Kluyveromyces lactis: one gene and its partner. The protein of the gene in region 2 interacts with the protein of the main gene of each other region in a pairwise test. Links are inferred from orthologs where the notes say so. Each region holds a gene or a part of one and is shown on either strand. Other genes may lie near its edges. The genes, in order: TPD3 and FAR11.

Region 1 (4,117 bases), about 1.5 Mb from region 2:
AGCGTTGGGTTCCACACAAGGAAAGCTTCCTACATTAAAAAGGCTGCTGTCATGCTCCGAGATCAATTTGACGGTGATGTACCCACCACAATAGAAGGCTTCATGTCATTACCGGGAGTAGGACCGAAAATGGGATATTTAGCTTTACAAAAATCGTGGGCCAAGATCGATGGTATTGGGGTTGATGTTCATGTTGATAGGCTTGCAAAGATGTGGAAGTGGGTTGATCCTAAAGTCTGTAAGACACCTGAACATACTAGAAAACAGTTAGAGTCATGGCTACCGAGATCTTTGTGGTATGAAATAAATCCAGTATTGGTGGGCTTTGGACAGGTACTCTGCATGCCAAGGAGCAAAAGGTGTGAATTATGTCTTGTGAACGATATTTGCCCAGGGGTTGACAAAAAATTACTGAAACTAGTCGGTTTGGAGCTTGAAGATACGGTGAAGAACAGCAACAGGGGTGATTACACGGAATGGATAAATTACCTTAGAAAAGAGAGAGCAGCTGAACTCTCGCAGAATGAGATTGATGATGTGGATAGAAGTGCGGAAACTACCTCTACGGAATCGAATACTGAAGTGAAAACCGAGGATAACTGATTTATTGAGTACATAATTAGATATCGCGCGTAACAAATCCAGTACTAATTCTAGTACTAATTCTAGTACTATGCCGCCACTTAAAACATGCCATAGTAAAGTGTAGATAAATGTGATAATTATTCATGTTTATATAGATGTTGCCCTATAATATTCTGCTACGCTTAGGACAAGAAGGATTTACATTTTTCTAAACTCTGTGCAGAGAAAAACCTTACGTCGACATCAGGATCTTGACATAGTTTTTCTAGTGTTGGAATAATGGTATTATTGATTAGTTCAATGTGATTCTTATTAGTATTTTTCGTTAACGCTTCTACGATGACAGCGTAGAACTTTGCAACGTTAAATCTAATGTTTGGAACGTTATCTGTGGATAAGTGATTTACGAATGGTAGAATCTTTTCGACAACAACGTCTGTGGAGACAACGGGGACCAACCCAGTTAATGCAAATAGTAGAGTGATTCTATAGTTGAAGTTTTCTAACAGTTGAGTGTCCGACTTTAGTAAACGAGAAATGATTTCTTCTTGTGCCCAATCTGAACCAAAGATTTCAGTTAGTTTACTTAGATTTGTGATAGCAGCACTTCTGATAGAGTAAACACCGTCCCACAACCACGATAGACACAAATCACTTAGTTTAGAATCAAAGAATTCCATCCCCAACTGTTCTGCGAGAAGAGGAATATATTCAATAATGGCCAATCTTACTCTCCAATTGGGGTCCTTAGCAAGCTCTGTAATGGCGGGTAGCAAATTCTCAGATAGAAATTCGATTCCGACAGATTCATTGACGATTTTCAATTTGGCAATGATATTCAAACGGACATCTGGGAATTCATCTTTCAACATATGTAGAAGTATTGGAACTAAACTATCCATTGAGTCTTGCTTTGGTAGCAAAGGCGCCAAGTTTGTAATCTCCAAAGCCAAAGAAGCCCTTACACATTCTGTTTCATCGATGCTTAGATTCTGAGCAGCAGGTATAATTCTATTTAAGATAACAGATGGGTCATTAAGCAATTTTGCGTAGCCAGGAATTTGTTTTGCGATGGCTTTCCTGACATCACTTTCGTTATCTTGACACAAAGCTAAGAATGGTTCTAACAATTCGCTGACATATTGTGGATTCGAAACGAACTGAGAAGCAAGTTCCTCGAATCTATCAGCAGCCATGTACCTAACTCTCCATGCTTCGTCCCCGATTAATTGAATGGAAGATTGTAATAGATCCTTCGTATGTGTGAAGTCCTTTTTCTTATTGAAAAATTTCAAGATTGAGATCAAGACATCAACAGCCAAAAATTTCACCGAATCCTGAGAATCATTGACCAATCTTTGGAACATACTAGAGATATAGTCCCATTCGTCATCTGTTGACAATTCTGGATGCTCAGTCAATTGGTCAACAAGGGTAGGTAAGTTTCTGCCCGCAGCTCTTCTAACCATTGGAGTATCATCCTGTATCAATTGCAAGAACAACGATAACAAATCTTTTCTAAACTTATCATCCTGAATTCTAACGAAAACTGCTTTGAACAACCCACAAGCTGATACTTTGGAAGAAAACCATTCATTGGTGGCAAGATTTTCAATCAAAGGCACAAAATCATGCAGCAATTGTTCCTCAGTCAACTGTTCGGCTACCATATTTAATGAATCAACTGCTTTTTCTCTCACCAACGTCTCTTCGGTTGATGCAAGAATCTCCAAAGCAGGCAATAGCAGAGTGGCATATTTTCTACCTCCAACAAACGGCACAAAATTACCTAATTGTTCAGCCAAGACTGCAAACACTTCATCTTCATCATCCTGAGCCACTTCGGTTAGAAATGGAATCAATTCATCACGCGTCCTTTGAACGCCCAAGGCTAAAGCAATGGTGTCCAGTTTTTTCATTGCTTCAACCCTATTAGAAATATCATCGTGCTTCAATTCATCCATTAGCAAAGCTAATGGATAGAGATTCACTTTACTGTCGCTATTATCGCCCATGTTATTTCTTACACTGCTAAAAAGTTCCCCGAGCCTGTCTAAAGTTGGGTAATAATTGCGGAAATTAAATTTATTCTTGAAACTGAGAAAGAAATTTGTTAGATATTTGGCTTACCACACCGTTCTCGTTCCTCTAAATATAAGTACACTGTCTAAATTCCTGATCTTCTGGTAAAATCGAAGCCCAAACCTTTTTCTCTGCCCTCTTGTGTCCTCTCCAATTGTGAAAACATACAAAGATAGTATAACCCTAATGTTTTGTTCTTGATAAACCCAAATGTATATTTTTAATTATTTTCAAATTTCGACTTTCATCGATTTCTCACCAAACAATCCAAATCTCAGTTTCATCAAGTTTTCCTTCCTTCCACTGACGTTATGAGGGAGGAAGGGGACAAGAAGGGGGGAGAGAACCCAAAGTCACGTGATTGATGGTCTCGGTAGGGTAATGAAGATGTTCGTTGTGTAGGGTAACTTTGGATAAATATATAGATACATGAATATGTGCGTAGGCATCTCATAGCGATGCTAAAGTGTTCACTGCATGGATGAAAAGTCTTACTATGGTGGATGCTTTATCTTTGCTGTGCATCCATATGATATTGAACGTTTTTGATCTTCTTGCAAGGGGTAGTACCATTGATATTGCGAAGATAATAAGCGATGCCAGTAATTGCGGTGACCATTGTACCGATTGAGCCCAGACAGGTAACCATCTAGGTAGATAGGTTGTCAAGCGTCGTATATAGGACAAATTCATCCTTTGCGTAGATGCAGGTGCTATTACGGCTGTTGTCGACGTTGATGTAGTTGCTGCACCGATCTGGACTTGATTTTTTGGCTTCAGCGATCTACTCTTTGATTTTGGCTTCGGCTTTGGTTTAGGTTGTAGTTTTTCGCGGAAATAGGTGTCTATATCCACGGATTGAGCGTGCTTCACCTTGTTCGCCTTGAGCTTGCTCTGCAATTTGTCGTCTAGCTGACAAAATCGAGTGTACATCGTGATGCTGGCCTTCTTTTGTAACGTTTCTATTTGAACGTCAAATATCAAGAAATCTAGTATTTGACTTAGGTTTTGAATCTCAGTTACTGTTTGGCATCTTCTTGAAGTTTGTAAGAGTAGTTCCTTGCATGAAATGGATAATTCATCGATGTGTTCATAGTTTTGTTTAACGTTTCTCTTCCAAAATTTCAAGGAAGAATAGAAGAATTGGTACGTGATAATCAATTGATCACTCAACGGCTTCATCTTGATTAGTCTTAGAAGTAATTCCTCATTGGTGAACCATTCCTTCAATCGCTTATCTAGACTCGTTCCGATTACCCCAACATTATTCATTTGACTCACGCAGTCCATCATTAATTGCCATGATTTTAAGGACGTTTGCATCTTGTTGCTGTTCAACAGCCCATATTCATACATCAGTTCGAGACATTCCTTAAGGTCACCTTTTACATAGAGATCTAAGCATTCTTGCGCATGCTCTTTCTCTATATCAACAGGTTGTAAATTCAAC
Region 2 (4,533 bases):
CACAGTAGAGATAGGGGAAGAGGCTCTTTTTCACATCTTTTACCTTTCACTTTAGCGCACAAATCGTTCTTGTTTGTTGATATTTTCACAAAACAATATCGATCTACTGTTGTTGTATCCAATGATGTAAACATAAAGTGAAAAAGGTTGTGAAATAGTCACGTGATTGACTTTGGTGACCATCACAAGGATTGAAGGAAAGACATATGCAGACATACATGTATACATAATATATATATCAATACAGTACATGTATAATACATTTGTTTAACTTATTATTATGCCATATTTTTTAATAAGGAGCAGAGAGTAGTTCAGCCTCCCTTGAAAAGAAAGAGTTAGAGAATTTGTCATCGTACCCGCAATGTTCCATAGTTCTTTTATAGTGATAGAAATTGTAGAATTGCAGCATGGCCCGTAAAGCAATTTCTTGGCCATAGGAATCGTTGATCTCGCCCGTGATATCCTTCCCTGTTATCCAGTTATCTGTTAAATGAAGTTTCTCATGTAAGAACACTCCAGAAATCAATTCCATATGATCTGCCCTCCATCTTTTATTCTTGAATGGTGCCAATTCGTGAATTATCTTTAATATGGGGTGGTATATGTCCAGATTAAAGATAGAATACAATGCCTTGAATATGTTACTAACATTAAGTGGTAGGTCTTTTAGCCTTTGTGTCTTTTTCCCAGTTATTTTGGATAACACTCGTAATAGATACACCTCGGAATTGAGCATTCGGAGATTTAATCTGTTTGCTTTCTCATTTGCGGTTGATATCTCAAGAGTTTCTTTATATTGAACATTGTATAAAGAACATTCACTCCAAAAAGAATGGGTAGGTTGTAAATGTTTAGAGTAAATTCTGTTTTGATATTGATCAGTAAAAGATTGAAGGATGCCTACGCTTGTCGTAATGAACTTTGAATCGTAAATCAACGAGCAAAGATACTCAAATTTAAGAAAGTGGCTAACCTTAAACCATTTTAAAAGGAGGAAAAGTATGGCAGAACTCGATTCCATTGCAATTTCCTTTGATCTTATAAGTTCCAATTGTGGTTGAAGCTCATTAATTTCTTCTTCAGAAAAATCCTCTTCAAGGTATACTTTGTTTGACATACAAGTTTCAATAGTTTCTAATAGAACATATACTAGAGATGAAAAATGGGGTAAAGCATTAGCATAATAATCTTCGATGCGATTCATGGTTTCAGGTTCCTCATTCTGTATACCTCTATACGTGAATGGGTCCTTCTCATGTACCTCAGTGTTTGTCCATCCTCGTTCTTGCACCATAAATAATTCTCTTTCATGCCATAGTTGTTTAGTAGATAGTTTTATATGCACAGATTTTGACAAAATTTCGATTGCTTCTTGCATGTTATACGGTAACACTGTCTCAGGCACCGCAATACTCAGCTTATTACTAAGTTCGTCTACCACACCAGTATCATAGTCACCAGAGGATGGAAAAAATGCTGGATATGATAAATTGGCTTGAAATGACTTCCTCGTTTTCAATCCGTTGGGCGAGCTTGTGGGTGATGCCGGCTGTGATGGTGCAGGCGTTGCCATATGCACTTGTGGCTCTCCCAACGACATGTTAGAACTGCTCCTCGAACGGGGTCTCGGAATCTCTAAAAATTGTGAAAGAGAATTGGGGTTGTCAAGCATGCTAGGATATGTCGGTTCTGGAAGCTGAGAAGATGGAAATCTTGAGGTGATATCTTCCCTAAAAGCAACATATTCCAATGGAGATATTGAAAGATTCGAAGCAGAGGAGTCTTTCTTTTCAATTTTGTGATGTTGAAGAACAAATCTCTTCACTGCGTCATAATGGCTCTCTTCACCAAACTGTAATAGAAGCACTTTATGGAATAAAATAATGATATTTCTTATTCTCATTGAGAGTCGACTTTTCCAACGCCAATGGTCTATATATTTTGTAAGGAAAAGCATCAAGCCAGATGAATGTACGACATCAATAAAATCTTCTACAGCTTTGGTGTGCATGCTTCTTTGCTCAATAGCTATATTGATCATAAAATAAGTGATTGAACCCGAGTAGAACAAAAGAGTATTATATTGTTGCAAATTAGTGTTCTTCACCCTACAACAATCTGCATGTTTCTTAAAGCAAGGTAAGAGTACCTTTGAAATCATCATCAATAGAGTATTATTCCTCCGTAGAATGTCTAAATGATGGAAATAACTGTTCGTTTCCTGAAAAGTTCCGAAAGAAATATACGCCAGACAAAGCAAGGTATTGATATCCACTGAATTTACCTCTAGCTTTTTACCAAGCTCTGTAATAACTTGAATAGCGTATTTACGCTCTTCGATAAATTTCGAACTATCATAGTTTTTTTCAAAGCTCAACTTTGCAGTCTTTAAGCTCCCATAGTCCTTTTGTATGAACCATTCTGATAGTTCGTGAAATAATGAATTAAAATCGGAAGCCTGCCAATCTAACGTAGGCTTGGTAAATGAATGTGAAAGATCACCTCTTTCAATCTCGTCTGCTTTTTCTTGTAACAACTTCTTTAATGCATCGTCTACTGGTAAATTATTATCTTCTTCAACTTTGACATCCTCATATGTAATTATTTTATCTTTGTCATTCAATTCGGGTGAAACCTTCCTTAGTTGCTTCGGTGATGCTTGTCCGTTAGTATATGAATCATAACCTTGGAAATAATCTTTCAGGCTACCAGAACTAGAACTGGGGGAGATTGGTCCATCGATCTCATCGACATTTGCAAACTCTGAATCCTCATCATCTTCTTCCCCATTAGCATCATCCTGAGTATCAATAATCTCACTGCTATTGTTCGCTTCATTAGATTGTCTATCTGTGCCGTTGTTTTCATGCTGCAATTCATTTGAATCACCCAAATGTAATTTCTTGCTAAGTAAACTATCCAGATCATGGAATAAAGACGTATCCGAAGGGAAAGTCTGGTGTTCATTGGAGAGCTGTTTTGCAAATGGCGGTCTAGCCTGAGTCTTGCTCCTCAAATCTTTAGAAGACAAAGACTTCAATAGCGGAGATCTTGACCGCTGTGTCTCTGGCATTATCGCAATCCACAAATAATATTGGATTCCTTTCTATCTCTCAAATTGAATAATCGTTAATTCAATGTTGAAAAGAAAACAGCTCTTCAAGCCGCTATCAATAGAAAACCACGGGAGTAGTTCAGGCAATACCTCGCAATGTATTTGAACCACAAAAGTAACGTTTTCTAAAAAGTTTAAGTGTATAGTTGCAAACGTTCTTATTCTAACATGTCTGATTGAATGCGATGCTACTTTTTTTTGGATTTTGAGTAACTATTCAAATGCCTGAAAAATGTGATACACACAAATTAAAACTGAAAATCTGTAAGAAACAAATCGAATTTGACTCGTGATGTTCAATCGTGGAAGAGTGACCAGCAAGCTTTTCTGGCCGAAGCCGCTAGTTTATATTTGATTGCAAACTAAATGAGCATTTCTCTGGAGAATATTCTTGGCCTCAAAGTTAAAATTACTGATGTTTTAGACCATGTAACGCAAGGAAAAGTGTATTCATTCAACTCAAATAATGACACCATCACTTTGATTGTGGGCAAGAAAAATAAAGCATACACATTTGAGATCATTCAGACCTCATTTATCAAGCATCTGGAACTAGTAGGAGAGAAGGCTAATCCGTCTAGTTTCAAGAAAGATCATGTAAAACCGTCATACGTTGATCTCGATAGAGTGAAAAATGCATTGGCTAAGACAATAGACACAGCTGCTAAAAAGGAAATGTCAATTGGAAAAAATGTTTCCTATGAGGGTCAATTTATATTTGATCTCATTCATAAGACTATATCAGATATAGTATGGAAGGGAAAATCCATTGTCGTTCTTGATGAGCTGGAAATAAATCCGCCGTATCAGCTTGGTAGCATTAAACCATTGCAAGGCAGAACTGATGTCAAATCAAAAGAGTTGATAGATAAGATTGTTGAATCTGCATGGAATAAATTAGAGAACGAAAGAAAAGGCGGATGATGCCGGATGTCAATGTAAAAATATATAGTTTATTTATTTACAGATTAAAATTTAACTTATTTCGTTCGGAATTAAAACTGGATAGAATACACATCGCCTTAGATGATGCCCACTAGGAGCAATCTCTAGCTTGTCCTTCGATTAACGTCACTCCGAATTTCAAAGTAACATCCACCGGATAGAAATTGAATCGAATAATTTAAGACCTTTCCCAGAGGTTCCTTTAAACCCATCAAGTTCCTCCCATGGAATATAAAACTCAAATCGTTCATTCTTAGGTAAAATGTAGTTGGAGTCATTATCAAGGTTCTTTGACTGAAGCACAGATTCCCAATAAAGATTTAACCAGCAACTTGAAAAAGAGCTTAGGTGAGAGACGTTGTTTATAAATTGCGAGGTCTTTGAACGGATTCCAAATGATAAACGGATATCTGAGAAAGTTACGTTGATATTTGGAACTATTATTTGCTTTGAAGTTAACGACCTTAATG

The links.
Region 1: the proteins of FAR11 (region 2) and TPD3 interact in binary tests that used the Saccharomyces cerevisiae proteins (3 or more experiments, as listed by UniProt). The link is inferred for Kluyveromyces lactis from reciprocal best matches to the Saccharomyces cerevisiae genes FAR11 and TPD3.

Annotation. Positions count from the first base shown.
Region 1 is NC_006042.1:726,315-730,431, reverse strand, and holds TPD3 (protein phosphatase 2A structural subunit TPD3), read right to left. Parts: upstream 2,601-4,117; coding exon 768-2,600; downstream 1-767. Other genes in the region: KLLA0_F07711g (endonuclease III domain-containing protein), read left to right, coding at 1-603; PEX15 (Pex15p), read right to left, coding at 3,118-4,117. UniProt on the Saccharomyces cerevisiae protein: Phosphatase 2A affects a variety of biological processes in the cell such as transcription, cell cycle progression and cellular morphogenesis, and provides an initial identification of critical substrates for this phosphatase.
Region 2 is NC_006042.1:2,261,518-2,266,050, forward strand, and holds FAR11 (Far11p), read right to left. Parts: upstream 3,077-4,533; coding exon 293-3,076; downstream 1-292. Other genes in the region: LSM12 (Lsm12p), read left to right, coding at 3,485-4,042; TEP1 (putative phosphatidylinositol-3,4,5-trisphosphate 3-phosphatase), read right to left, coding at 4,202-4,533. UniProt on the Saccharomyces cerevisiae protein: Participates in the control of the reentry into the cell cycle following pheromone treatment.